Linked DNA regions of Rhinolophus ferrumequinum. The protein of the gene in region 1 interacts with the protein of each later gene in a pairwise test. Links are inferred from orthologs where the notes say so. Each region holds a gene or a part of one and is shown in the gene's direction. Other genes may lie near its edges. The genes, in order: RAB6A, BICD2 and PMM1.

The links.
Region 2: the proteins of RAB6A (region 1) and BICD2 interact in binary tests that used the Homo sapiens proteins (3 or more experiments, as listed by UniProt). The link is inferred for Rhinolophus ferrumequinum from reciprocal best matches to the Homo sapiens genes RAB6A and BICD2.
Region 3: the proteins of RAB6A (region 1) and PMM1 interact in binary tests that used the Homo sapiens proteins (3 or more experiments, as listed by UniProt). The two-hybrid records come from large-scale screens. The link is inferred for Rhinolophus ferrumequinum from reciprocal best matches to the Homo sapiens genes RAB6A and PMM1.

Annotation. Positions count from the first base shown.
Region 1 is NC_046294.1:48,922,522-48,932,758, reverse strand, and holds the start of RAB6A (ras-related protein Rab-6A), read left to right. Parts: upstream 1-6,270; 5' UTR 6,271-6,783; coding exon 6,784-6,853; intron 6,854-10,237. UniProt on the Homo sapiens protein: The small GTPases Rab are key regulators of intracellular membrane trafficking, from the formation of transport vesicles to their fusion with membranes.
Region 2 is NC_046295.1:740,549-750,805, reverse strand, and holds the start of BICD2 (protein bicaudal D homolog 2), read left to right. Parts: upstream 1-5,394; 5' UTR 5,395-5,628; coding exon 5,629-5,868; intron 5,869-10,257. UniProt on the Homo sapiens protein: Acts as an adapter protein linking the dynein motor complex to various cargos and converts dynein from a non-processive to a highly processive motor in the presence of dynactin.
Region 3 is NC_046293.1:6,430,082-6,439,943, forward strand, and holds the start of PMM1 (phosphomannomutase 1), read left to right. Parts: upstream 1-5,711; 5' UTR 5,712-5,824; coding exon 5,825-5,911; intron 5,912-8,190; coding exon 8,191-8,308; intron 8,309-9,421; coding exon 9,422-9,498; intron 9,499-9,601; coding exon 9,602-9,693; intron 9,694-9,862. UniProt on the Homo sapiens protein: Involved in the synthesis of the GDP-mannose and dolichol-phosphate-mannose required for a number of critical mannosyl transfer reactions. In addition, may be responsible for the degradation of glucose-1,6-bisphosphate in ischemic brain.

The DNA of each region.
Region 1 (10,237 bases):
GATTACTAATTTTATCTCTCTATTTGTTATAGGTGTATTCAGATTTCTTCTTGGTTCCGTTTTGGTAGTTTGTGTCTTTCTTGGAATTTGATCATCTCTTTTAGGTTATCTAATTTGTATAATCATTTTTATTTCTGTATTTTTGGTAATAATGTCCCTTTTTACTCCTGATTTTAGTAATTTTAGTTTTTTTCTTTCTTGATTAGTCCAGCTAAAGGTTTGTAAATTTGTTAATCTTTTCAACTTTTGATTTCATTGATTTCCTTTGTGGTTTTTCTAATCTTTATTTCACATATTTCTGCTCTAATCAGTGTTATAGCCTTCCATCTGCTTCCTTGTTTGTCTTTCTTTTTTTAATTTGTTAAGGTGGAAGTTTAGGTTATTGATTTGAGGTCTTCCTTTTTTTAACATAGGAATTTAAAGCTTTAATTTTCCTTCTAAGTACTGCTTTTGCTGTATTCCATGAGTTTTGGTATGTTGTGTTTTCTTTTTCATTTGTCTCAAAGTATTTTCTAATTTCCCCTGTGCTTCTTTGACCTATTGTTTATTTAAAAGTGTGTTGTTTAATTTCCACATATGTGTGGATTTCCCAAATTTCCTTCTGTTATTGATGTCTAATTTCATTCCATTGTGGTTAGAGAACATACTTTGTGTGGTTTCAGTCCTTTTAAATGTATTGTGCCTTTTTTTTTTATGGCCTAAGATATGGTCTATCCTAGAGAATATTCCGTGTGCACTTGAGTTATTATATAGTTTGCTTTTACTGGATGGGGCATTCTATAGATATCTGTTAGTTCTAGCTAGTATACAATGTTGTTCAAGTACCCTATTTCTCTGTTGGTTACTAATCCCCCTATCTTCTGGCAGCACCTCACCCTAGTCCTCTAGTATGTCTCATTATTTGAGCCTAGAGCTTCTTGTGTTCAGTTCCTCCATAGAGAGGGATAGGTTTGTAACTACTCTTCATATAGATACAATTCTCTTGTTTTTGATCTCTTTCCTTACCCCGACCTTCTGTGGTATTTGCTGCTTCATATTCCTGAGCTTTTGTGGAGTTCCTGCCTGCCTGGCTGATTGGCTTGCTTCTTGTTACTTTCTCCTTCGGTAAGCACTTTCTATGCTCTGTTTAGTCAGTTGCCAATGCTCTCTATCTTTTGTCTCCCAATTTAAAATATAGTTCTGGGTTAGAGCTGTCAAAGACAGAGTTTCCATTTTTACTTTTTGTTCTTGTTCTGGAACAATTTCAGAAAAGGAAGAGGGAAGAAACATCTTTAATCTACCATTCCAAAACTGGAAGTTTGTTTTTCTGAATAATGCTGTGGTTTATTATCTCACTGGATAATTCCAGCTATTAATTATTGTAGTGATTTTGATACCCTTTGATTTTTGTATAAAGTCCTAGTTAGTTTGTGCTGTTCAAAAATGTGAAGAAATGTTCACAAAAAGGGGGTTTCTTGTGGCATGTTAGGCAAGTTACAATTTAGTTGTGCAGTCCATTGGCATTTCAGTGCAAACAGCATTGGTCTCATGCTTCTATCCTAAAATGCTCTGTTCTTTGCATGTAGAGCAATAGAAGCAGTTGTTCTCTTCTACTCTGAGAGTGATTATCTCTTAGTAGCAGGTAGAGTGATTCAGTCTTCTGTATATCTTACAGGAGACTTTATTATTTGTGGAGGATAGAGTACGAGGAGAGGAGAGCTCCAGCAATGTGTCAGGGATTACACATTCTGGATTAGTATAAAAAGAAGCAAACTCTTCCCCCACTGCAATTTCAAAGCCTGAAAGTAACACCCCACATCTAAGGCACTGAGAAATCACATTATTCATAAAAAGGACCATGATTCACATGAACGGAACAAAATGGAATTATCAAAAATAGAGTCTGTAGATCAATCTGTAGCAAAAATATCTTCTGACTTAACTTATAAATTGTCTATAATCACAGGAAGGACCATTTCATTGAAGTTCTACTGCCTTCTCCTTCTCCTCCTTGGCTGAATAAATTTTACACTTCCCCCATAACATGTCCTTGTAGGTCAAGGTATTTGGAAAACAGGTTTTGCCATGAGGCCTCCCCTCTCTTTTTTTCCCTTATAGTCCTTTTAAAATGAGACGTGCTTAAACCTTGCTTAAAACTTGTTTAAACCTTATACCTTGTGTTAGTTGTGCTCCTTTAATTGGTCACCTGGAATTATTGAGCATCTGTTATTTTTATGCTTTGTATATTGACTCACTATTATTTTTAGTATCAATGATTATAATAACCTGCAGAGTGGGTAGAAGGGCTTCACATTTGATACAATTTGAATTCCTGCCAGAGATATTATTTGTTTCAAATATGAGCAATATGATTTCAATCCTTTTCAATCCCTGGACAGTTTTTCTCCTTCTATTGATTTCCTGCCTCTCCAAGAATAATAAATCCTTTTTAGGGAGCAGTAAATAGAAAAAAGCAGTTCCAGTTTGGTAGCTATTACTGTATTATGTATATCATATACATTGTTATATGTGTAACATATATTAATATATATAATACACACACACACACACCCATACACACACATAGTATTGAGTGCCTAATGTTCAAGGAACTGTGCGAGGTGTTTAAAGGGATCAAAAGATGAGAACATCAGATGCTTTCAGCTGCAAGTAACAATAACAAAGACATATGTGAAAACATTACTAAATATAAAGACATTTATTTTTTTGCTAAAAAGAAGCCAGAGGAAGGCCAGTTCCAGGGGAGGTACAGCGGCTCAATGATGACTTTAAGTTTTCCGCTTAGCATCATCAATGGGTTGGCTTTTGTCTTCAGGATTATATATTAATGTTCACAAGATGTCTTAGTTCTAGATATCTTGTCCTTATATAACCACATCCAATGGCTGAAAAATGGCACTTTTTCCTCATCTATCTCTTTTCATCAGGGAAGATAATTTATCTTCTAAGTCTCTGGGATATTTCTTCATCTGCCACTGGCTCAGATCAAATTACGTGCCTATAACTTAGCTGAAGGGAACCTGGAAAAGTATCTGTCATTACCAATATATAATGTGGAAGTGTGTGTGTATTGTTGGACAAACAGTAGTGTCTGCCACAGGAATACAATGAAATCTCAGTCCTCCTTCAAGAAGCTTTGTGTCTCTAGAGGCAGAAAGACAAGCTGCAGTTATATTACAATTTCTGTGTGGTAGCTTCCTGGACACATCCATGGGCTTCAAATGAACGATCCCTTTTAAATTTATCAAAGAAGACTGCTCTAGGTACTTTCGATTTGGAGTTGTCAAAAGTTGTCCTCTCTGATTTTGAGTGATGCTCTCTTTCTCCAAAACACTCTTGCCGTTCCATCTCCACGTGCCCGAATTCCATTGAACCTTTGAAGAAAGCTAAAATAATCTCTCTCATTTATTCAGCAAATATCTGTTGCATGCTTACTATGTAGCAAGCACTCTACAAGTGTTGAAAATACAGGACCTCACAGAGCTTAGTCAGGTGGGGAAGACTGACACTTAATAACAATGAAGTGATGGGGAAGACTAGGGTACAATGGGAGGACAGGCAGGGGTACTTCATACTGTTAATGGAGGTGGGAGCAGACAGAGAAAGCTTCTTGAAGACTTGTTAGAGATGATATCTGAAGGATGAGTAGGAATTGGGGGGAGGGAAGAAGGAAGGGAAAAGTGTTCAAGGTAAAGAGAATAGTGTGTAGAAAATTATGGAGGTGAAAGTGTTGGCGAAAGTGCCCTTGGAAAAAGCCTCTTTAATTTCCTTCTCCCAAGTAATTTCTTCATTTGATGAACGTGTAGCACTTAATATGCAACTTTTAGACCATATGTTTTGCTCTGAAGGCAAAACATTATTTACACAGATAAATATGAACGCAGCTTCAGAGAAGAATGAGGCTGTATATGTGTCAGTGCAAAATGCTAGGTTAAAATATTCGAACATCTGAGGTAAGAGGTAGATTACACCACACCTCTCTTCAAAATAATAGAAATAACATCACCTTTCTAGGTGACCATAGGGACCAGAGCAGCATGGAGAAATTGATTCATAAAGTTCCCGAGGAGGTACAAAGTAATTATAGTTCCAATCCTCAGATGTTACTTTAAAGGCTATTTCAGGAAACATAATGAAAATCTGGTACCCATCAGAAAGAAAAAATAGCAACTCTTGTTTGAAAGAGGTTTTCTTTTTAAATAATCTCTTGGTATTGGGTGTTCTCTGTGTGTGCCAGGGTTCTGAGTTACTGGTAGCAAAAGCCTCCCAAGACCTGACAAGCTATTTTTAAAATGAATTTTTTTTAAAAAAAAATCAAATGTCCATATTACAACTCAGGTTTTTACCATTTCATTTTAGATGCATGTTCCAAAATCTTTCTGCCACTTAGCTGAGAGGAATCAGAAGTTAGTAAATTTTGATGGAGACGGAGGCTTGGGGATATAACTGTTGTCTTGATAGGCTAGAATGGATATTTTACGAATCTCTGTTCCTCCCCTTAATTTATTCTAATTCAGCAATTCATGCCTAGTTTGAGAAGACACTTACTTGTTTGATACTGCCATTTCTATAGCTAAGTAAATAATAACCTCCAAATAATGAGAAAATGTATGTAAATGTGTTTTGTGACTAGTAAGATACTATATACAAATGTAAGGACTTATTGTTTCATTATTAACTTGGGAAGTATTTTTGATACCAGTTTTTAAAAGTGTTCTCTTCAAGCGCAGAGATTACTTTTTTGGATGCTATCCAATAGCCTAGTCAAGTATGGCTGAAGTACGGTGAAGTGTAGATGCCAATTTCTCTAATTCAGTGATTCTTAACCTTTTATTTATTCATCTTTTATTAATAGGTGTTTTTTAAAACTTTGTATTTACAGAAAAATTGAGCAGACAGTACAGAAAGTCCCCATATACCTCTCCCCCACTGTTCCCTCTCATGTAATATCTTACATTAGTGTATTTCTTACAATTAAAGAACCAATATTGATACATCATAATTAACCAACGTCCATCTTTATTCAGATTTTCTTCGTTTTTGCCTAATGTTTTTTTCTGTTCCAGAATCTCATTCAGTTTAAACTTATGTTCAGTTGTCATGTTAATTATATCCACATTATACTTAGTTGTCATATCTCCTTAGGCTTCTCTTGACTGTGACACTAGCCTGCATTTTTTGGGGCATGAGCTATGTTGAAAATCTGCTGAATGCTATGATTCTCTCCACAGGAAAATGCACGTTTCAGATATTTCATTTAAGAGAGGTCCACCAACGGTAGATTCAGAAGCCCTATTTTAGGAGGAACGGATGATCTTTAAAATATCCCCTTCCTCACATTTGGTCTCAAGAACAGGCTCTACCTCTAATTTGTTGTGTGACCTTTTTGCAAAGCTGTTTTCCTACGTGGGCTTTAGTTTCACCATCGGTGAAATGACGGGTTTGTTTTACGTCTAAATCCTTTTCTAGCACAGAAGGTGGCACCTAGAGTTATCACTATCTGAGGAACAAAGGCTGGCACAGAAGACCAAGTCAGGTCAAGCCAGGGAAGTGATGGGCTTATCAATAAGGAGATTGCAAAGGTTCAATGGGGGGAAAAACCAAAACCTGGCTTCCACTTTATGTTTTTGTGGGTTTTCTAAGTTATTTCCTTCCTTTGAGCCTGTTTCCTCATCTGCAAAAATATGGAGGCCCTGCTTCTTACTGTAGTTATGAAACTCCTGGGAGCAACAGCAGAGCATGTACCTAGTAAGATACCGTGAGAAGATTAAGAAGATGAAGGTGGGTAGGTGCACGGGTGAAGGGCGGATCTGAGGAATGTGAGACAGGGCTGAGGGCTCAGGATAAAGGAGCCTAGTACACGTCTAACGACTCTCTAACCCCACCTGTACAATGCTGGGTTCAATGTATCACCTTCCGGCCCCGCCTCCGTCCCTCCCCTCTTCCCCTCCCCGCAGGCTGCGACGCGCCACACTCCGCATGGCCGCCACCGTACAACGCTTTCCACCGCGCGGCAGCCGCGCGCGCTCTCGCGCCGCCACCTCACTCCGGTCCCTGCCCGCCTTTGGTCTCTCGCGATTGGCTCATCCCATACGTAACGTATTCCACCCCCTCCTTATTCCACCTCCTCACTTCCCCAAGTTCCGTCCCGCCTCCTTGCTTCCCCTGACGCGAGTCGAAACCAAACCTGCCGACGTCTCCGCGGCGCGGGAGGAGCCGGGAGAGCAGGCTAAACCAGGAAAGTGCTGGCTGTGGCGCGCACGCGCACGCTCCCACGCACGCACGCCGGCGGGCGGCGGGGCGGCAGGCTCGCGCCCAGGCTCGCCCAGCGCCGCGCCAGAGGCTCGCGCACTCAGCAGGTTGGCCTGCGGCGGCGGCAGCTGTGGGAGCTGAGGCGCTGCGTGTCAGAGGTTCCAGACGTCTGCGGCTCCGGCCCCGCCACCCTCTGCCTCTCACCTCACTCTCCGTGCCTGGTGCTGAGAACAGAACAGCACTAGCCTTGGGAACCCTGAGCACACCCCTGACTGCTTCTGACACCAATCTCCTTCCCTTCCCAGCCGCGGGCCTCGGTCGGTGCCAGGCGACTCCGCGGGGAGGCGGTGGCGACGGCTGCCTATCTGTGGAGAGCAGTCCTGCCCCCTAGCCTTGCTCCGCCGTCGGCCCTGCTGGGGCCGAGAGAGCTCGGCGCCCGCCCTTCCTTTCACCCTTTTCATCAACCGATTGGAGTAGCGTCGGTCCGGTAGGTCTCTGGGCTGAAGCGGCGGCAGCTCCTCCGGTTCCATCATGTCCGCGGGCGGAGACTTCGGGAATCCGCTGAGGAAATTCAAGCTGGTGTTCCTGGGGGAGCAGAGCGGTGAGTGCGTGGCTACCCCACTCCTGGCGGCTGGCCGCAGCTTCCCCGCACCGCCCCCAGTGCGGCCCTTCAGTCCGTGGAGGCTCCCTGCCGGCCTCGCCTTAGCGCTTCGTTCCACCCCCAGCCCTTCCCGGGGTTCGCCGACCCCTCTTAGCCACCGGTTCCTTTTCGCCTTGATCCGTCGGTCGGATTTTGACCCTTTCGTGCCCGACTCCGGCGTCTCCTTTCCCCGCAGCCCGACCCTCTTCCGTCGATCTGCCTCCCTATTTCCCACCCCGCCCAGCCTCCTGTCCATCCCTTTCTTCCTCGGGTCTCACCCACCCCAGCCCCCTTTCTTGAGCCCCACCCTTATTCCTTGCTCTTATTCCAGTTCGTCAGCTCTGTGAGGCCCACCCCGGGAAGCCCCACTCCTGGGAACCGGCCCTCTTCAACCTTGGGCATGGAGGGTAGGATCTGGGCGTTGTTTTCCCCAGAGGCTTGGCCCTGAGAAGTGCGGATCTCATGGAAGGGGGGGGGTGTCGTAGAAAATTCCTGGATGGTTTTCACTTGGATGGGGAATTAGTCTGGGTTATAGAAGACATATATCTGAATTGGAGGCGACTTGAGGATGGAGTGGTTGAGGGGTGAGAGGGTTGGCGATGGCAGTGGCAATTTTTACCCCTTGGGTTAGGCTGTGGCTTTTTGGAAAACCTCATTTTCTTCCCTTGACTTTCATCCTTGACAATTCTTTTGGCAGTGTTGATGCTTTTCTGGTCTCTGCCAGATGCTATGTCATGATCGTTTTACTTGGAATTTTTCACATCTCACCTCTCCTTTTTCAACATGAAACAGTATCTGATTCTCCTCATGGTGGTGCATACAGGAATTACTGGGAAAATGTTAAGTATTCCTTTTATCCTTGAGTATTTTCCAGTTATAGATGTAGGATTTCTGTGAAAGAATGCTTGAGAATAACAAATATCTTTGTTTAGTGGATTTCCTTTGGGAGTATTGGAGTAGAGTAAGAAGAATAGATTCATCATCTAGTTTTGAAAATTAGATCGAAATATGTAATATACCCCTTCTGCTAAAGGACTCCTTTATGTTTAATATTCCATAGTATCTGATGAGTGAAATTCTCATTTACTTGGTCAGGCTTCTGCTGTTGTTATAGTTTGTATTCCATACAAGATCCTAGTTTTGTGATGGCTGTCTCTAAAATTACTTCTTGTAATTTCATTTTTATGCTGTATTATGCAAACTTGACACTTGGCAATTTAGAGATTATCATTCTTTGTTTTTCTCACACTTATCATGACCATCTTTAAAATTCACACATTGAGAGATTAGTTTCTCACAAGTCATCAAACATTGTTACCCACTTGGTGTCTTAGGTTAGACTATAGAAAACATTTGTTATCTTTTGGTTGGAAAGAAGATAACTGATATAAATTCAGAGCTTTTATTACTACCTTGAACTATTTATACTATTTTGTATGTCATTAAAGTAGGTTAATACTAGTTGCAAAATTGCTTCCAGTTGGACCTGAGAAATCATTTTTCTCCTTTCATACATAATCTTTCCCCTTCCCCCTTACCAAGGAAAAATGATGTCTTCTCTTTGCTTTTGAATTTTCCTGAAGTAGGTATAAGCTTGTTTCTTTAAGTAACTTGATTAACCTATGAGGTTGATCCTGGTCCAGGTGTTTTATGGTAATTTCAGGATAGTGCCATACATAAAATAATAGCTTATTGGTCATTATTGATAAATAGGATCTAAAGTGCTTATTGTGTACTCTAGGGATGTTATTGCCTGCCTTCTGTTATGATACAGAGCTGTTTAGTTTGCATGAAAAATCCATTAATATCTCTCATAAGAAGATTTTAGTATGAATAGAGATTATAACCAGTATCTCCAGGTTTCCTTTGAATTTCTTGAGTATTTATGTTCTAATTCACATTGCAGAGTGTTATGGCTTTTCATTTCTTACTTTTTAAAAGTCTTTAATAACTCTTTTCCTCCCCAATTCCTGAAGCCATCTTAGATTTTTTTTTAAATAGACTTTGTTGTTTTAGAATAGTTTTAGATTTATAGAATAATTGAGATCATGCAGAGGGTTCCCATATAGCCCCACCCAGTTTTCCCTATTATTAACATCTTACATTAGTGTGCTACATTTGTTACAATTAACCAATATTGATACATTATTATTAATGAAGTCCGTAGTTTATTCAGATTTTCTTAGGTTTTTTCTTTTATTTATTTTAAAGATTTTTTATTAAAATACAGCTAACATACACTATTATATTAGTTTGAGGTGTACATCATAGTTATTCAACAGTACCCACCTAGCTCTAACCAGTGTTATTACCGCATTATTGATTTTATTCCCTGTGCAAAAAAAGTGATCACCATAAGTTCAGCAACCATCTGACACTGTACTGCACTATCACAATATTATTGATCTTTACCCCCCTTTTAAATTTTTCAATTAGAGTTGACATTCAATATTATTTTCAGATTTCCTTAGTTTTTTCTGTTTAAGCATTCATTTTAGGGTACCACGTTACATTTAATTGTCATGTCTCATTAGGCTCCTCTTAGAATTTTTTAGGATCGTTCACATGCTTTTTAACTCTGTGGACCTGTGAGGTTAATTATCTTTTGAGGCTACTATATTGCTAAGTAATGCCATCCAATATCTTTGACAATGAAAGATCGATCTCTGTTTTCATGGGCAGTGTCTAATTTTCTTGTGCATTAGCAAAGGTCTGTAGAATCCATGTAATCTTGATGTAACTCTTCATGAATTATTTATTTTTAGGTTTTAGAATTACACAATTCGGCTTTCAAAGACTAATCTGTGGCAAAGCCTTGTTTGTTTCCTTAATAGCATTTACCACATTTATAATTCTTATTTTTTATGTATTTGTTTTTGTCAGTTTCCCACAAACAGAATGCAAGTCCCATGAAGATTAAAAACTGTTATTTTTTGTTGTTGTTCATTGTTTCCCCAGTGTCTCTCATAGTGCCAGGATTATAGTATGTACTCAGAAATATTTAGTGAATGAGTGATGGTTGAATCTAATAGTAATCAAAGGTAGTAGGTAGCCTATATTAATTTTTGTTATAATGAAGTCTACATTTTTTCCTTATGCAATTAAGAGTTTAACACTAACATTTTATACTTACATTATTGGATTGTATGCAGAGATATTGCAGTTACTGGGCAGGTGGGAGAGAGAACCTAATAATTTATAGCCCTCACTTAAAACAAAAAAAAGACCGATCAGGATTTTACAGTTTTTTTTCTGAGTTGAGCAAAATTTGTTTTGCATTGTTCAAACTATTGTTAAATTATTTGCTATTAGAATAGTACCTCAACGTATGTCAAATGATATTTA
Region 2 (10,257 bases), on another chromosome or scaffold:
AAAGGATATTTTGTGTTCATAGACTGGAAGACAGTGTTGTTATGATGACAATACTACTCAGAGCAGTCTACAGATTCAAAATTCCAACAGCAGTTTTTACAGAAATAGAAAATTCATCCTAAAACTCATATGGAATCTCAAGGGACCCTGAATAGCCAAAGCAATCTTGAAATAGAAGAACAAAATTGGAGGACTCACACTTTCCTATTTCAAAACTTACTACAAAGCTACTGTAAGCAAAAGTGTGGTGCTGGCATAAACATAGACATATAGACCAATGGAATAGAATACAGAGCCCAGAAATAAACCTTCACATATAAGGTTGATTGATTTCTGACAAGGGTGCCAAGAATATTCAATGGTGAATTGATAGTCTCTTAAACAAATGGCACTGGAAAACGGGATATACAATATATACAAAAGAACGAAGTTGGACACTTCCTCTGTATACAAAAATTAGCTGAAAATGGTTCAAAGACCTAAATGTAAGAGCTAAAAAAATATAACTCTTAGAAGAAAACCTAGTGGGGAATCTTCATGACATTGGATTTGGCAATGATTTCTTGGATATGCCACCAAAAGCATAGTCAACAAACACAAAAATAGACAAATTGGACTTTATCAAAGTTAAAAACTTTTTCCTTCAAAAGACACTTCCGAAAAGTGAAAAGGGAGTCTACAGAATGGGAGAAGATATTTGTAAATCATATATCTGATAAGGAATTAATATCTAGAATACGAGGTCTGACAATTAAATTTGCGAACTTGTTGCAATGATGTTGCTAAACTTTTTTGATATCAGAGGGGTTATTCATCATGAATTTGTACCAACTGGACAAACAGTTAGCCAAGTTTACCATTTGGAAGTGCTGAAAAGGCTGTGTGAAAAAGTTAGACGACATGAACTTTTTGCCAACAATTCATGGCTCTTGCATCACGACAATGCACCAGCTCACACAGCACTGTCTGTGAGGGAGTTTTTAGTCAGTAAACAAATAACTGTATTGGAACATCCTCCCTACTCACCTGACCTGGCCCCCAGTGACTTCTTTCTTTACCTGAATATAAAGGAAATATTAAAAGGAAGACATTTTGATAATATTCAGGACATCAAGTGTAATACGATGACAGCTCTGATGGCCATTCCAGAAAAAGAGTTCCAAAATTGCTTTGAAGGGTGGACTAGGCACTGGCGTCGGTGCATAGCTTCCCAGGGGGAGTACTTCGAAGGTGACCGTAGTGATATTCAGCAATGAGGTACTCATATGTAGTACTTTTTGTAGAATGAGTTTGTGAACTTAATTGTGTGACCTCATATATAAAGAACTCCTACAAATCAACAACAAAAATATCTCAATTCAAAAATAGTCAAGGACTTAAAGAAACATTTCTCTAAAGAAGATATACAAATGTCCAGTAAGCACATGAAAAGGTGATCAACATCGGTAGTCATTAGGGAGATAAAATTACAGTCACAGTCATATACCACTTCACACCCATCTGGATGGCTATTATTTTTTTAAATGGAAAATAAAGTATGGCAGTTCCTCAACAGGTTAAACATAGTTACAATTTGATCCAACTATTCTCTTCTAGATATCTACTGAAAAGAATTGAAAGCAGGGACTCAAACAGACATTTGTACATCAACGTGTATAGCAACATTATTCGTAACAACCAAAGGTTGCAAACAACCCGTGTCCATCAGCAGATGCATAGATACACAGAATGTGGTCTACTCATACAATGGAATATTATTCAGCCATAAAATGGAATGAAGTTCTGATACATGCTATAACATGGATGCATCTTGAAATTGTGCTAAGCTGTAACAATCACTGCTCCGGAACCTGCCCCAGCAAGCTGACTGCAGCCCCCGCATGGCAGGTGTGAACTCTGAACAGGGCTGGTGAGTCTTGGTCAAGTGCACAGCGAAGTTCAGCTTCTTCCGCTGCCCTATCTAGCGGCTTCCTCTCTCCTTCTCAGGCCCAGATCCCTAATAACCACCTTTCACCACAAACTTTTCTTCAGCGGTCCTTCCTGCTTCCAGAAAACTGAAAGGTGTCACCCCAAGTGGATCTGGTCAACACCAGGGTGAAACTGATGATGCAAGTATTTGGCTAGGGCAGAGTTTTACAGTCTGATGCCACTAGCTCCCCTTTGTCACCTCCCGATGCACATATGCACACGCACACATGCATGTATATACACATGGACACACACGCACTCCATCATGTCCTGAATTCACCACGTCCCCCACCCTCCTGCAGGCCACGCTTGTCCATGATTACACCTCTGCCTCTCTGGGATACTCTTCTTCACCTTCTGTGCCGGCAGACACTAGAGCCTCCTTTAGAACCCCGTCACTGCCACTGCCACCCACTCTGTGACGTGTTGAGTCCTCCAGAGCCAGTACTGCCCCTTTAGAGCTCCTGAGTGCCCCAGGTACATCGGTTGAGTTAGCTGGTGAAGTCTGTTCCCCCAGGGAAGGCTGGGTGCCAGTTTCTGGATTCACAAACACCTGGGTTCAGATTCTGGGTTTCTCCCATATAAGGTGTGTGATCTCTTTGTGCCTCAGTTTCCTCACCTATATAGTGAGAACAGTGATACCTGCCTTGTAACTTGTGAGGCTTACGAGAGATGGCACCTGCATGCAAAGTGCTTGATCAGCTTGGAACAGGGTAAATGCTCAGAAAGTACATTGGGGTCTTCACCTCCATCATCATTGTGTCTGAACCCCCAGGGCCTGGCACAGAGTTTATTGAGTGAATGACATTTGGGCCAAAGATTCATCCTATGGCATGCAGAATGAGTATGTGGGGGACACCATGCCATTCACTGTGCTGGCAACTGGCCAAGGACACCTAACAGGAAAGGCTTTGCCACTCAGCCCACAACTGGACAGCCATGGGCAGAGAGGAGACAGGATTCCAGGAGGAAGGGCTCACACGGGCACTCAGAGCTCTCGAGGGAACAGCAAGGAAGGAGCTGCAAGGCTGCCAACTGCCCACACCCAGGCCAGCCCCCAGCCTGGACACCTGTGCACAGGAGCATCCTGCTCTCACCCAGGGCAGGAGTCTGCTTACAAAGGCAGAGCAGATTTCTGGGAGGACATCACTTCCTTTGCCCCCAGGCTGTCACCCAGGTGTTCTCGGGGGAACACTGCAGGCAGTCCCAGACATTGCCCCGTGCCACGGCTGCCTCTGTTCTCCTCTGCTTTCCTCTTGGTGAGGGGTGGGGGTCCAGGGAGTGGGGGATACTGATGACAGTCCAGTGTCCACCAGCTAAGTCGAATCTCTACGGCGCCTGGCTGGAGCCCCTGGTGTGCGCTGGGCCGGATTGAGGCCCCTGCCCTCCTGGAGCTGACTTTCCCGAGTGGACAAAGGTGCAAAGGTGAATAAGCCATAGAAAACAGGAGGAAATCGAGAGAGATGAAGCCAGGAAGGGGAGCACAGCCCAGGGGGGGTGGGGACAAAGGTGGGAGGGCCACTCCTGAGACTGGGCAGGGCCTAGGGGGCAGTGGCCATAACTAGCCTTGCCCCCCCAATTCATTCATTAAATCCTGAGCCCCATGGTGATGCTGGTAAGAAGTGGGGCCTTTGGGAGGTGATGAGGTCATGAGGGTGGAGTCCTCGTGATGAGATTTGTGTCCTTCTAACGACACCCCCGGGAGCTCCCGCACCTCTCCTGGCACGTGAGGACACAGGAAGAGGTGGGTTCTCACCACACTGCATCTTGTGGCACCGTGATCTCGGGCTTCCGGCCTCTGGAACCATGAGAAACAAGTGTCTGCTGTTTAAAATCCTCCCAGTCTTATTTTTATAGCAGCCTGAATGTACTCAAAGGGATTTGAGGAGACGGGTTGTGACCTGCCTGGAGTCTAAGGACACTCTGCTGCCGTGAGAGAAAAGGTTGGGGGCCTGGGGAAGGACGGAGGGAAGGTGGCTGCAGTAGTCAAGGCAGGAGGCAAGGGGCTCAGGCCTTGGAAGGGGCAGTCGGGACGGCAGGAGGCTGAGGCGGGTCCATCCTTTGCTGTCATATTGAGAAAGCAGATGAGGGGTGGAGGAGTTGGAGCGTGGTACTGAGGATTCTGCTGTTTCTTTATTTGTCAAAGAAAATAGCGTGACTCCTATGTCCTGGGGTGTCGTGAGGACTCAGCAAGATGATATAGCTCAGGTTCCTATCCATGTTGGGGCCCAGTCGGAACTCAACAAGGGTGACCCTGCTTCTCTTAGCCTTACTGTGGCAGCCTGACTGCATCCTTTGGGTGTCACCTTCTCAGGGCATCCTTCCCTGATGCCCTGTCCCCCAACACTGTCACACATCATGGCTCCTCCCTCATGGCTCTAACCTTGATGGCCAGACCAGCTGTCCCTCCTGCAGGAAGCCCACAGTGGCAGTGCTAGGTCCTCTGTCAGCACCTAGAAAAGTCCCTGCCTGTTCCCCTTCCACCACCCTGTCCCCAAGTTCAAAGCTCCATGGTCAATACCTGCCCCATATTCCCATAGCCTTTCCCCTCTCCCTCCTCAGGCCAGTCCCACATGAAGGCATGGAGGGTGGGTTTGGGGGTTCTGAGTCTGGCCATCCTGAGTCACCCTTCTCACAGGGTAAAAAGCAAAACCCAGTGGCGACCTGAGTGATGCAATTGCGTGCTGAGACTCTGCACCGCCTCGGGATATTCCTGCCAAAGCGCACACCCCAATCTAACCATGGGGACACATACACCGGTGTGCACATCTCTGTCCAGCAGCCTCCGTAAGTCAAGGTCAAAAAGACAGAGGGAGAAAGTCTCCCAGATGGAGAAGAAGGAGACAACGTCCTTACGAGGCGTGATCCAGGGCTCGGTCCAAGAACTGGAACCGTGGCTACTGAGGGCGGCGTCAGAGTCGGCCGTCCTGAATCGGATCACTGGATTGCACATGGAAAGGTCGAATTCTTAGGAAACACGTCGGAGCATTTCGAAACTAAGTGGGGGGCGAAGGCGCCCCTTGAGCTAGCAGGTCTCAATCAGCGTGCTTTTGAACGCTGCATTTCCCTCAAAATGCCTGTCTGGTCGTCCGTTTTACTAGAAACTTCAAACAGCGAGCTTGACCATTTCTCCCACTCAACATGTGCTGCGTTACAGTCCCCCAGAAGCTGGGGCGCCCCAGGTGGGCCGGTACGGACGCGAGGCCGGCTCTCGGCACTCCCGGTACACGTGCGTCCACCGCGGGTTTTCCGCCTCACCGGCCCAGGGATGGGGACCCGGAAAATACCAGTGCTTCCGGCTCCGCAACGGCCTATCATGATCGGGGGTGGGCGGGCGCAGGGCATGACGAGACTTGTAGTTGGCGCACGGGCGGGACTACGGCAACCACAACGCTCTGGGCGGTGGCGGCCGAGGCGATGGCATTGGTACGGTCGACCGGCGTGGGACCCGGCCAATCACCGTTTGGGGCGGGCGGGCCCGTGGCACAACGGGCCTTGTAGTCCCGCGGGCGGGACTACCGCACCCATAGTGCCCCGCGCGGCGGGGAGCGCATTGCGGCTGCGCGGCGGCCCAGGCGCCGTCGGGCTGGGCGGTGGCTAAGCGGATGGGATTCCGGCCTGAACCCCGGTGGAAGCGACGCGAGCCGGGCTACGGCCACCATGTCGGCACCGTCCGAGGAGGAGGAGTACGCGCGGCTGGTGATGGAGGCGCAGCCCGAGTGGTTGCGCGCCGAGGTGAAGCGACTGTCGCACGAGCTGGCCGAGACCACGCGCGAGAAGATCCAGGCGGCCGAATATGGTCTGGCGGTGCTCGAGGAGAAGCACCAACTCAAGCTGCAGTTCGAAGAGCTGGAGGTGGACTACGAAGCCATCCGTAGCGAGATGGAGCAGCTCAAGGAGGTGAGGAGCGTGGGCGGCCGCCGCCACGCCCTCTGGCGTCCCCGGCTCGCGCCGCGCCCGGCCCTGACCCCTGATCCGACCCCTCACCCGGGCCTGGCCGACCCTCGAACGGACCCCCGACGCTGGGCTGAGCCGACCACCTAGCCGAGCAGCCCCAGGGAGTCCAGGGTCGGCGTGCACAGCTGGCCTGGAGTCGCTGCGCCCCCTTCGGTTCCGCCCCAGGGAGGGAGACGCGGTCCCCAGGTGTGGTGGCGGCGCGCGTGCAAGAGAACCCGGGCCTTCTCCGGCCAGGTCTGCGGTGGGGTCCTGTCGCCGGTCTGCCTGCTCCTGGTGGCAGGCCTCGAGCACGGTGGGGTGGAGTTCTTTGCGGCGTTTGGCTTCCCGGGTGAGGGGGATGGGGGCGTGAGATGGATGCAGGGAAAAGCCAGGCCTGGTCCTGCATCATCTCCAGGCAGATCACTTCTCTCTGGGCGCAGCAGTCTTCAGTAGTTCCAGTGCGTTCCCCGAGGCCAGAAAAGGGCTGGGAAAGGGGCGTGCCTTGCATGTGGCCGTTATTGCTGCAGGTTGGGGGTCCCCTGTTGTCCCAGGCACAGCTCTCTGACCATACCCACCCCCACTCCCAGTCACTTATCTGGGATGCAGTGCTTTTCCCGCCCACTTCCTGTCCTGGCCGCCCTCCCAGACCCTTCCCTGCAGACTGGTGACAGGTCTGTGGGCATTTGTCACAGAGGGAGCCTTGTGTCTCCTGTGCAGTTTTCACTCCGGGATAAGGGGTGGGACCATCAGGCTGCCTGAGAGCCTAGCAGCAGGACAGCTGGACAGTCCTTCCAAGAAGTAGTTCTCCTTAATGGTTTAAACACCGCTTTTCTCCCAGTCCTTGCTGACTTCTCTAGCCCTGTTGTGGGGGGCGGAGAGGGAGACGTTTCCTTCTAGTGGGACACCCAGGTTTGGACTCAGGCTCTACCCCCTTGCTGGTGACGTGGCTGTGGACAGGGGCCTTAACTTCTCCCTCTGCAGCATTGCCCACCCAAAAGGGTTGTTTTGAGGGGCATATACTTGAAAAGGAGGGGCACGGTGTCAGGTGCGCTGCCTGACAGTGTGCCCCTTGCCCCGCTGACTCTTCCTCGTCCTGGTGGCCTCTTGGCCCTTGGTTCTGGGATGCACCGTGCTAGGTGTTTTCCCCACTGCCCATCTCCTGGCACCAACGCTCCCAGAGGCCTCAGGCAGGTGTCCAGACTGTTCAGAGCCTCCCTGCCCCACTGGGGACACCAGTAGACTCGTCTTTTGAAGTGGGGAGGAGAGAATGAATGAATCCACGCTAACGCTTAAATCCATGCCTGGCCGAGCAGGTGTGCAGGGGAAGCAGCAGTGAAGAGCATGTGCGGGTTGGGGGAGGCAGGTGGCGGCGCATCTGATCCTCGGTCCTGTCACCTGTCAGCAGGTATTGGGGCCTCCTCTGAGCCCGCTTGGCTGGTACTGGATCTAGACAAGAGAGGTGATATGTGGCTCCTCCTGCAAGGGCCCCATCTTGGTGTGTGGGGGGGCGGGGGGCGCTGCACCATGATGGAGGGAGGCCAGGAGACTGTGAGAGTATGGAGTGGGAGCACCTTCAGCCCCATTCTGGTCTCCCTGGGGAGACCCCCCCAATCCTACCTCCCCACAGCACTCATAGCCCCCTTCTGTGTTCACAAGCTCACGTTCGTGTCCGCTCTAAGAACAGACCAGACCTACTGTCCCAGAGGGAAGTAGTTCTCACTAAGGGACCTTTCGGTTGTCAGCTCGTTTCTATTGGACACAAACATTTTGGCCAATGCAAGAATCTTGGCTCTGCTTACTGGGGTGTGTCTAGACGGCGGGTCCCGGAGGAATTGAGAGGCAGGTGTGTCAGTCTCTGCAGGTGTTCTTCAGGCACCTGCTTGCTTAGTTTGTTGTCACCTCCTGGCTCTTGCACACACTGGTATTTGGCCTTGGGCACGTGGCCCTGTGTCCTGAACTTCAGTTTCCCCCCGTTGTGGCAGAAGCCAGAGGAAGGTGCATCAGTCTCAGTGATGTTACTACTGTGTTTCCCCGAAAATAAGACCTAGCCGGACTAGCAGCTTTAATGCGTCTTTCGGAGCAAAATTAATCTAAGACCTGGTCTCTTATTATGTTACATTACATTGTATTATAGTATATTATACTATACTATATTATGTTATATGACACCTGGTCTTATATTAAAATAAGACCAGTTCTTATATTAATTTTTGCTCCAAGAGATGCATTAGAGCTGATGGTCCGGCTAGGTCTTATTTTCGGGGAAACACGGTAGAAAGCTTGCACCAGTTCACTCACACCCATGCCAGCACAAGCTCTGTCAACCTCTTTAGTTTTGGCCAGTGTCATACCTGAAAATATTAACTTGTATTTTAAAAACCAAGATTTAAATAGACAATATTTGTTAGGTCCTTTTTTTTTTTTTTTTTGTCCTGTAGAGAGGTGAACCATCTTCATTCTCTTAAAACTTTATTTCTTGAACTAAAGTGGATTCAGTTACTAACAAATTACGCTGCCAGTGGAGTTGCCTGGACTTGGGCCCCGCACTTGCAGGTCATCCTGTGTCTGAAGGAGGGAAGCTGACTGGCCGGCCGAGGTCAGTGGGCCCTGCCCAGAAGGGAGCGCCCGCAGTGCCGGCCCCGCAGCCTTCTGCACGTGACGAGGGTGCGCGTCTCCTTGTCTGTGTCCTGCTGACACCGTGGGGCGGGGGACCTGTTGGCCCATTTTGCCTAATCATTTTCCTAGTGATTGAGCCTGGATTAGTAAGTCCCAAGTCCCACTGAGCCCCTTCCCTGCCATGGTGGGGAAGAGAATTGGATGGACTTTGGTCATCCACGCAGTGTTTACCGTCCTGAGTGGCTGTGGGACATCTCACGCTGTGTCCTCTGCAGCTTTAAGGGGGCAGGTGTGCTGGGGTGGCAGCTCCAGTCTGGTGGGCTTAGGTAGGTGCTGTAAGTGGGTTAAGTGGGTGGTCCTCATGGGTGGGGACGTGAGGGCCGGAGGACACGCCTCAGGCCAGGCGCGGGCCGATGCGTCTCGGCTCCGGAGAGAGTGGGAAGGCAGGTCTGGATGCCCTCCTGCCTCTGTGCCGCCTCTGAATCTTGTCCGCGGTGGGCATATCTTGGTGAAGCAGCAAGTTCAGTGAGCAGCGGTGTGTGAAGGGCGGGGCACAGAGCCTGGCACAGCTTGGCACACAGGAAGTGCTTACTTTGTAAGTGACTGCTGGCTGGTGTCCTTAGCTCCTCTCCACTCTCTCAGGCTTGGATCCCCTCAGCCACCTGGCCTCTGCTCCTCGTCAGGTCGGGAACGGCCCTATTGCGTCTCCCAGAGGGCCCCAGGTCTGCTGTCTGGGGCCTCCAGCTTGGCTCAGCCTGCGCTGCTCTTAACCATGGGATGCATGGAAGCCAGGAGGACCGCCCCTGCCTCTGGACTTGCCTGAACCCAGCTCCCAACCCTTGGCGTCCTTCTTGTCCTGCAGGCTCAGCAACCACATGAAAGGCCGGGGCAGAGCGGGTGGAAGCATCCTCCATCCCACCCCTCTTATAATCTCTCCCAGAGGATGGAGAGATGGAAGTAGGGGTGGGTGGGAGTGACTGAGGAAAGCCCAGCAGCTCAGACAGCGAGGGAAGGGGTCCTCAGCACCAGGCTCCTGTCCATAGTTTGCACAGGAGTCACAGCCATGAGCTGGTTTATTCCCATGGAGGAGGGTGGTGGGAGGGCTGCCCCTGGGCCTCACCCCCGTAGCTGAGCTGCTCCTGCCGTAGCCTCCCGACGGCCCACTGACTCCCACAGTCCCCACACCAGCCAGCGGGTCACCACCTTCTTGTGTTCATTGTAGCTGGGGAAACTGAGATGCAAAGAAGCTACGCTTCACTCAAGGCTGTGAGCCTTGGCAACTGTCCCTAGAGGGCAGGTATCTGCTGAGGAGAGAAGGGCAAGTGGAGGCTTCCGTGCAAGGCCAGGCTCTTCGAGTGTGTGTCCTGAGTTTGGCGGAAGCCTATAGGGAGTCTCCTGCCCCTCTGACACTGCCCTAGGACTTGGAGCACAGAGCCTTTGGGGGCTCTGGGAGTCCAGGACCTTTTGGAGCCAGGCTGTGCAGTGTTCTGCTGTCAGACTTGGGTCCGGGGAATGGAGAGGTGCTGAGGTGGCCCTGTCCCCACGGATAGATAGCCAGGAGAGGCAGCTACAGGTGTCAAAGGCAGTGTCCCCAGGGCACTGTAGCTGCACTGTTGGGCACCGTCCCCTGTCCCACGGGCATACGTAGTGTGTGTCTGGCGGGAGGCTGTCGATCAGTGTTACGGCCTCTTCGCTTTGAAAGCCGCCAAGATGGCTCCGTCCCCTGTGCCGTTTGTT
Region 3 (9,862 bases), on another chromosome or scaffold:
TGTAAGGCTCCACCAACTAAGAGTAGGCTGCTCACCACAGATGTGTGCATGGAGGCAGGACCTGACCTGTTCTGGAGTGCCAGACGGTGTAGGAGGGTCCCTGCTCAGGCTGTCAGGTTGGGCAGTGAGACCCATGTCTCCTCCCTCTTACATGGGGGCTCTGGCCTAAGAGAGCAGGCAAAGAACCCACTAGGCGTCTGGCACATCCCTGAACGTGAACCCTTGACCATGGAGCCTGGCTGCTTTGGAAAGGGGCAGGGGTTCTGGGACTTGTCTACAAGTTTGCCCCGGGGGCCTGGAGTCCTGTCCCACCGTTTCCCTGGCTGAAGAGAGCCCGGCAAGGTCATGCTGCAGGGGGAGATATGGACTACAGGTGGCGCTGTGGACTCACGACCCAGCCCACCGCCAAACTCGGCTCCTCCCGGGTACCCCAGGAACCATGCGAGAGGCCCCTCTCAAACTTGTCCCAGGACCCCTCCAACTGCCACTCTGCTGCAAGGGCAGGTCCCTACCACTACAAGAGGTTTCCACCTCCGGCCTCCACTTACGATTTGCTGGACCTAGATCCCCTCTCCCCACCTATCCTCAGAGCAACACCTTACCAGGAGCTAAAGGCCCAATACCAGCATTTCCTCTGCAAAGCCTTCCTGACCTCTCCCCACCCGAAGCCGCTCCCTCCCTCCTGTGGGTTCCTCTCCCACCAGCTGTGGCTCGGCCTGGTTGTGACCACCTGCGTGCTCAGCACGAGGCCTGGCATAGAACCGGCATCACAGAGTGAATCGATCCACCAGTTCAGTCCTGTAGGCCAGCGTTGGGGGGGGAGGGGTCATAAAAACCCCTGAACCTGGACTGAACCTCCGCCTCAAAGACCTTCATCAGGACCTTCCTCTCTCTGGGCCTCAGCTTCTTCATCTGTGAAATGAAAACTATGGCTCCCAGTGAGTCCTCTCCCCACCCCTGGGATGAGAGATGAGGAGTGATTTGTTCAATGTCTTACAGTTCTCAGGGCTCAGCTCTGATCCACAGAGATCACTAACCACAGGTGTCAGGAGACCGCTGTCCCTGCCCCCTACCCCCAGGTGGGGCAATGCTGAGCCACCTCTGTCCCCACTGGCTTTGGTGGAGGGAGCCCCAATGGGGCCTGTGCCAACCCAGCAACAGGCTCCGCCCCCTCCACAAACACCACCTCTGAACATACGCCCTTTAGCTTATTTAAAGTCAACAGACTTGTTTATTATGAAAATGATGTAAGCACTGTAGGCATTTTGAAAACTAGAGAAAAAACAGCCAACACTCACCGTTTCCCCAACCTCCCACTGCCCCTGAACCAAGACGGAATTAAAACCAGCAACCAGCCCTGACCTGTTTTTTTGCAGGGCCTCTTTAAGCTCATCTCCTCCCCTGCACCCTCATCTTCCTGACAGCCCAGAGAGGCTGTCAGTGTCAGTCCCATTTATAGATAAAGAACAGACTCAGGGTGGGAGGGACCTGCCCAAGGTCACCTGGCTGGAAGAGCCAGGCCCTGGAACTGTCAGTCTAATTGTACACTTACTACACCGAGGCTGCCCCTCAGGCTGGGATTGCCTGCCTTCAGAAGGTCACACTCCAGATGGAGAAAAAGAGGGCCAACACCCCCTATATTCATTCAACAACGTGCCGACACTTCGTCTTCCACCAAGGGCCGAGGGAAAAGCATGGGCTTTAGGGGAGTCCTGTGAATGTGAATCCTGACTGTGCTGTGTGACGGGGAAAGCCACGTCACCTCTCTAGTGTCAGTACCACATCTGGAAATTGAGTATAATGGTACCCATCTCACAGGATTCTGGCAAAAGTAAGTGAAGCGCCCAAGGTAGGAGCTACACTGCCCAAAGCAAACATGGAAGTCACTAACCTGCAAACATCAGCCAACTGTTTGGCCCAGAAGAGCCTAGTCTTCCTTCCTGAGCAGGATCTTGCCATGTTGGGGTCTCAGGCTCCCTGCCTTCAGGACTGGCTTCCTTGGGTGCTCTGGAAACACCCTTCTGGCCAGATCTCCCAGTCCCAGTTTCCCCTGCTCCGTGTTTTCCCCAGGGCCTCCCCAGGGCCCCATCTGAACACCAGTTGCCAGGGATGAGCCTCCCTCTTAAAGAGACATACTAGTGGCCACTAGGGCCACCACACCTAGTCCTCCTGGGTCTGTGCGTCAGGGCAATTCACTTCCTCTCTCTGGGTTTCAGTGTCTTCATCACTGAAATAGGTTGAGGTGAGAATTCAGGAAGAGACTGTGAAAGGTATTTGTAAGAAAACTGGTTCACTACAGGTCTAAGGTTAGGTGTGCTACTTTTGAGAGCTTATCTTTGTTTGTCTTTGGAGTAGTGGACCCAATCCATAGGAGACAAACACCTGTCCTGCCCTGTGAGCCCCATCCTACGGCTTCCGGATTCCAGCATCGGGGTGGGGCCCAGGCATCTGCATTTAACCACTTCCCTAGAAATTATTAAGCAATGGAACAGGTGTCAGTGGTGAGATAGTAGAGACTAATTGGGGCAGTTCCAGCTCCACCCACAGGCTCTAGACTAGGTGGGCCCTGCCAGTGGCCAGAGTCCCAGAGGCCAGATCTGGGTGGAGCAGGAGGTGCAGGGTAATGAGCTTGGTCTTCTCTCCCATGGAGATGGTTTTGTTTGCTGTCTGCATCCAACAGAAAACAAAAGCTTCTTGTTTTGTTCCCTATGGTGTTCCCAGGACCCAGAACAGTGGCACAAGACGTCTGGTTAATGAATAAACCAAACTCTGCTGCAGGGCCTGGAAAGAAAGATAGATTTTTCCTTTTGCCTCAGGCTCCAATATGACTCCTCAGTACGATTATTGATCCTGTCTTTAAAAACATTTTTTGATATTTTGTTCATCATGAATTTTTTTGCATTAATTTTGATTTTAAAAAATATTACATTTAAATGCTATTTATCTTGATGCTGCTTTAAATTTTGGTGCTGCTTTAAATTTGTGCCTGCAGCCAGTACCTCACTCACCCTGGTCTTGGCCTTGTCAGCCTGATAGGTGCTCTGTGCAGCCTTGGGCACATCCCTTTCCTTTTTCTTCATTAAGTGGAGACAATAACACCTCCTAGAGCTGCTGTGATAATGAATGAAGATGTATGGTCCAGTAGCCGGTATGGTGGCTGGCACATCGTAAGAGATCGATAAGTATCAGTTATGAATAGTTTACCTTTTATAGTCCTATCAGTTGAGGATTAGGTCCCCATTATGTAGATGAAGAAACTGAGGCTCAGTGAGGGAAGGTGATCTGTTCAAATTTTAATAATTAGCAGGGACCATATAACTGCAGTTTCCTGTACTCTGACTCCAGTGGTCTCCTTAGGGCAGCTACCAAAACAGAAAAACAGAGAGATGATCAAAAGTATGGTAGACAGGGGCCGGCCCGGTGGCTCAGGTGGTTGGAGCTCTGTGCTCCTAACTCCGAAGGCTGCCGGTTCGATTCCCACATGGGTCAGTGGGCTCTCAACCACAAGGTTGCCAGTTCAACTCGTCGAGTCCGGCAAGGGATGGTGGGCAGCGCCCCCTGCAACTAAGATTGAACACGGCACCTTGAGCTGAGCTGCCGCTGAGCTGCCGCTGAGCTCCCGGATGGCTCAGTTGGTTGGAGCGCATCCTCTCAACCTCAAGGTTGCTGGCTCCACTCCCGCAAGGGATGGTGGGCTGCCCGTCCCCTGCAATTAGCAACGGCAACTGGACATGGAGCTGAGCTGCGCCCTCCACAACTAAGACTGAAAGGACAACAACTTGAAGCTGAATGACACTCCACAACTAAGATTGAAAGAGCAACAACTTGACTTGGAAAAAAGTCCTGGAAGTACACACTGTTCCCCAATAAAGTCCTGTTCCCCTTCCCCAATAAAATCTTAAAAAAAAAAAAAAAAAGTATTGTAGACAGTGGTACCACTCGTAGGTGTGTGGATGAGTGTGTCTTTGTAGGACCAAAACTGCCAGAGTTGATCACAGGCATCAGGGTAAAGATGGTAAATGCAGCAAAAATCCCTTCCCAGGCACAGCCTTAAGCAAGGGCAACCCCTGGGAGTACAGAGGATCTGGAGCTGGGCCTTTGGCTCTGGAGTGTGGAAGGAGGCAGAAATAGAGAGCCCCGGAGAAGAGGAAGCTGCAGTCAACACACTTCCAAGGGGGGAAAAAATCTATGAAATTCACGATGACACCAACACCCAGAGACAGCCTGCTACTTCTCTTACAAAAATGGAATTGGGCCGGCCCGGTGGCTCAGGTGGTTGGAACCGGTGCTCCTAACACGGAGATTCCCAAATGGGTCAGTGAGCTGCGCCCTCTACAGCTAAGATTGTGAACAAAACAATGCCTCTCCCTGGAGCTGGGCTGCCATGAGCAGTGTGCGGCACTGTGTGCGGCAGTGGGCTACCATGTGCATACCAGAGCGGCCGGTGGCCAGCATGAGTGGCCGGCAGCCAGTGTGAGTGGCCGGCAACCATCGTGACCGGCCGGTAGCCATCGTGACTGGCAGGCAGCAGGTGAGAGCTGCTGTGAGCAGCAGACTGGCGACTGACTGTCTCAGCCTGGGAGAACGCAAGGCTCATAAACCAGCATGGGCCAGGGAGCTGTGTCCTACCCAACTAGACTGAGAAACAATGGCTTGAACTGGAGTGGGTGGGAGGCAGAAGACGGGGGAAAAAATGGAATCATGCTTTTTCCATGTTAAATATTCTACAATACAAATTTTCACGGCTTCATCTTATAGATGGATCATAGTTAATCTAACCAATCTCCATTTTTCCCCGTTTTCTTATTTTCTGAAAGTTGAATTGCTGGCTCAAAGGATCTGCACACTTTTAAGACTTGACAGGCAATAACTGTTTAATCAGTAACAGTATCAAGCACTTCTATACAAATTGGAGTGTGCCAAGTACTATGTGGGCTCTTTTACACTTTTTTCTTTTCATGTGCAAGCAACCCTGCAAAGTAGGTGGTGTCCTTACCATTTCACACATGGAGACACAAAGCTTAGAGAAGTGAAGTGACTTGTCCAAAGTCACATAGTGGTGGAGCTAGGAAGGCAGTCTAGAACTGACTCCAAAGTCAATATGATGGTGAAACAGTTATGAAGAGGGATCCAAGGGCAGGTTTCTTGAAGGAGGTGGACCGTGAACTGAGCCTTATGACGTAGACAGAATAACTGCAGGAGGAGTGAGGGAGGAGAGGGCCATCTGGCAAAGTCCAGAGCCTGAGCAAAGGCCATTAGGTGATCTCTTAAAGCTCAAGATTTGTAGGGCAAAGGCGTTAGCAGGGAGGGGCGAGTCATAGAGTGATTGATGGCAGGCGGGGGAAGATAGGACAGCCCGGGCTCCCTGAATCCCGCCCTCGCTCCACCCCGCACTGCACTGCGGGTTCGAGGTCCCGCCCCCGTCCTGCCCCTCCACCACCGGATGCAATCAGAATCATCCCGCCACGATCCAGCTCCGGCCCCGCCCTTCTCTTCCGGCTTCTATCCCTCCTTTCCCGCCTGGCCTGCCCCGCCTTCGTGTGGGTTGGACCAATCAGACCGTTCCTGCCGTGTTCTGCTCCGCTATATTCCACGCCCCTTCTCCGCCTGGTGCAATCAGAGTCATCCTTACCAGTCCGCCCAGGCCCCGTCCGAGCCCTCCCCTCCCGCCGAGGCCACGCCCTGGTCACGCCCCCTCCGCTTTTGGCTCACCCGGGCTTTCCTGCGGACCCTGCCCCTCCCAGACCCCGCCCTATCAGTGTCTTCGCGACGCGGCTCCCGGGTCACATCCTGCGAACTCCGCCGGGCTCGCGGAGCTGCAGACATGGCTGTGACCGCTGAGGGCGCCCGCAGGAAGGAGCGCGTCCTCTGCCTGTTTGACGTGGATGGGACCCTCACGCCGGCTCGCCAGGTAGGGCTTCCACGTTCGGAATCTCGGGTCGGGAATGTCACGCGGACACCCGGAGGCCTAAGATGGGGACTGCGGCGGCGTAACCCGGACCCCCGAGACTGAGTGTGGGATGCAGCAGTACCCGGCCCCTGACACCCCGGGGCCGACCGCTGGGAATGATGGGCACCCGGACGCCCACGTCACAACCCCGAAGCGTCCGTGCCCACGTTCTGCACGGAAGCATCGGAGCTGAGTCGGATTCTGGAGGGAGGAGGCTGCAAGCGGGGGCCTACCTTCCATTCCTACCCCTCCGCCAGACTTCCACACGCCAAGGCCTTGCTCAGGGACGCCCCTACCACACCAGCCGGAGCTCCCACTCCACCCAGTTCTGCCCTAGGACGCACCAGTATCCCGAAACTGGCATCTGAACCCAGGTTCCAAACTGGGAACCCCTGAGCGCACCCAAACCTCAGAGTCTTCATCTGGTGGGGGCCGGGGAATCTCGGAGCCATTCCACCGGACCTTTGCAGGCCTGGGCCTGGGTCTAGTTTCTTGAGCCCCTCACCCACTTCTACCCCTAGCGGTGGAAGGAGGGAGGGAGGGCTTACTGTACCTTTTCTGTTGAGTATGGACTCCGCCCACCTCGAGGTGAGAGTTCTCACGCCTAAACTGGTCGAATTGGGGATATTGTGGCACTGGGAGGGTGGGAGTGCAGTTCTTCTAAACTTAAGAATCTAAAGGCATCTCACAGGTGTTGATCCTCCAACCTCTGCTCCACACCCAGTTTTTCTCCTTTTGGATCTCACCCTGGATGAGCCTCCAGACCCATCCTTACTAGCTGGGTGCTTGGATAAGCAGGCCTCTTTCTTGCTGGCCCTGAGTGTACTCTACCCTCCAGTTTGAGGTTACAAGGACCAACTGAGGAATCTCCTAGAGCAGGGAACCAATAGGGCTGGGTTGCAGCGCAGAGGCTGATGGGAACACAGGTCTTAGCTTCCCCTCTTAGGTTCTGCATACCCCATCCTCTCCCCTCCGGATGGCCCTGGCTTGAGCCCTGGGCGCATTGGAAGGAATCAGGCCACCCTGCCTTCCAGCAGCTCCCAGGGTCCTCAGGGATGGAAGAAAGATGACAGTGAAGGGAGGGTGGCAGAGTCTAAGAACAGCCCCAACCCTTTCCCCCCACTCTTTGCTCCACTGACCCAACAGCCTGTACAAGAATAGTGTGTTAATGCTGTCCACCAATGTTATTGCCAGGGCCTGTCCTTAGTGCTTTCTAAAAGTTAATTTTTAATTAGACATGTAGTCATGAATGCATTCTCTTGTCAATAATGAAAACATAACAGAAAGCTCAAGTCCCCTCTGATTATGTCAGGATCCCACCCCCGCCCCTAAATAACCTGGTTGCCTGTCATGTGGCTTCCTTCAAGACCTTTATCTGGATCTGTTTGCCCAGAGGAAATATTAAGCAGTGTCTTCTGAGGCTTTTAAAAAAATAAGTGGTATCACACATCATACTGTGCGTGCCTTCCTGCGACTCACTTTTGTCAATTAGCATGTTTGGGGACTCGCCCATATTGGAGTACAGGCCTGCCTTACTCTGTGTAACCACAGGATTGTATTTCAGAGCAGGTATGTGCCATTCTCTGATTGACAAGCATTTAAGTTGTTTGCAGTTTTCCATTATTATAAACCATACCCCAATGAACCCCCATATACATATGGGCAAGAGAAGTGGAAATTCTGGGTGATGGGACACGTGCATTTTAAGTTTTAATATTAAGTTTTAATAGATCTTGCTAAATTATCTTCCAAAATGGCTGTACCAATTTTCACTCACCAGCAGCGTTTGAGAGTGCCTGCTTCCCCTACATCGTCATCCACTCTTGATATTGTCATCTTTGAATATCTGAATGTTTGAAAACATGGATTATAACTCATTCGTTTCCATTTCCTTGCTGGGGAATCTTTTCCCATGATCACTCGCTGGTTCATTGTTTATTCATTTTCATTTAATCCTAACAGTGACCCCCCCACACTCCAGCCGGTGCTACTGTGATCCCCATTTTATAGATGGGACAAAGAAGGCAAAGGCAACGCAATTTGCTCGAGGTCATCCTGCTGTGGAGGGACTTGAGCCAGAGTATGAACCCAAGTGCATCCAATTTTTTAAGATCTGGGCTCTAAACCTTGAACGGCCTCAGATCCAGGTGAATATCCTGGATCCTGAGCACCCAGTGAGGGCTGAGTGGAGATCCCAGACATGCGGACAGCCAATCCTGTGCTTCTTTGCCCCGCTGCAGAAAATTGACCCTGAGGTGGCTGCCTTCCTGCAGAAGCTGCGAAGTAGAGTGCAGATCGGCGTGGTGGGCGGCTCGGACTACTCCAAGATTGCTGAGCAGCTGGGAGAGGGGGACGAAGGTAGGAGGAGGTGGCCAGAGCCAGCTCCACAGTCGGGGTGGTAGTGGGAGGCCCTAGACCCATGGGCCTTCAAAGACCCAGTCCTGCTTCTGTGGAGCAAAGCAAGTAGAGGGAACAGCCAGATGTTTCTTTCTCTCGCTGATTCAGCAACCATTTAGTGAGCACCTATCATGTGCTGGGCACTGTGCCAGGCTTTGGAAGAGCAGGCAGAATCCTGCCCTTACATCTCAGTTCTCCCTGCTGGGTCTCGATTTCTTCATCTTTAAAATGGGCATAATCAGTACTGAAAATGACCATGTGTGAACTTCCTTTCATGTAATCCTCACAACCAAGCTTCGGGGTGGATTAAATGATTATCCCATTTAACAGAGGGAAGATTCTGAAGTCACCCAGGAAATTTTTGGACCCACAAACCCTGTCTCAGCTGAGTTCTTGATCTCAGCTCAAGGCAAAATGCCTCCAGCTCCTCAAACGAGAGACTTCCTTGAATTTCCCTTTGCCCCACCCCCTTGTTCATTCCATCAGCCAGTCCCGAAATATTTCCCTGTGTGTCCTGTCTCCATCTCCACTGCCCACCATTGTCCAGGTGGTCACCTCCCACCTGAACCCTGCAACAGCCTCCTGGTCGTGTTCCCTGTGCCTCCCCACTCCTGCCCAATCCAGCCACTTCTCATAGCATCCGGAGCTGAAAACTGCCCCATTGCAACCAGCCTTAACAACACAGTGATGGAAGTTGTAAAACAAAAGGGAAGCTGGTGTCCAGAGGGGCTGTGGGAGCACAGAGCAGAAATGACGCCCTCTGCTGAGGAGTCCCGGAAGGCTTCCAGAGGAGGGAGCTGGGGATCTTGGAGGAGTGGCGGGGGAGGAAAGAGGGCGGGCATTCCAGGCAGAGGCACCTACGTGAGCAAAGGCCCAGAAGTGTGACGAGTTTGTTTTCTTGTTTGGAAAAAACCAAAGCTGCAGGAAGTGAGGAGGCTACACAAGCAGGTTTGGGATGGAACAAATGGGCTTTGAAGGCCAAACCAAGGAGTGTGGGCATCATCTCTCTCCTTGGCTCTGGGTGCCCGGTCTCATGCTGTCTCTTTCTCCCTTGGCCTCTGTGTATCCCTGAAGTCATTGAGAAGTTTGATTACGTGTTTGCTGAGAACGGGACAGTGCAGTATAAGTATGGACGACTGCTTTCCAAGCAGGTCAGTGGCCCCCGGGGCCTTAGCCCAGGCTACTTTTCCACAGTGAGACATTCCATGGGTACCTCTGTCCATGCCCACCACATGCCCTGTGTTCCTTGCCCAGACCATCCAGAACCACCTCGGGGAGGAGCTGCTGCAGGATTTGATCAACTTCTGCCTCCGCTACATGGCCCTACTGAGACTGCCGAAGAAGCGGTGAGACCCCATCCAGCCTTGTGTCATTTCTTCCTCCCAGTGCTGGGCCTGAAGAGGAAAGGGGGGGCTGTCTCCAAGGGGATCTAGAGATGCCGGGCCCAGACTTATTGGTGGGTAGATTCCTGTTCCCTGTGAAGTCCAGACGGGCTGGATTGAATTCAGTGCCATT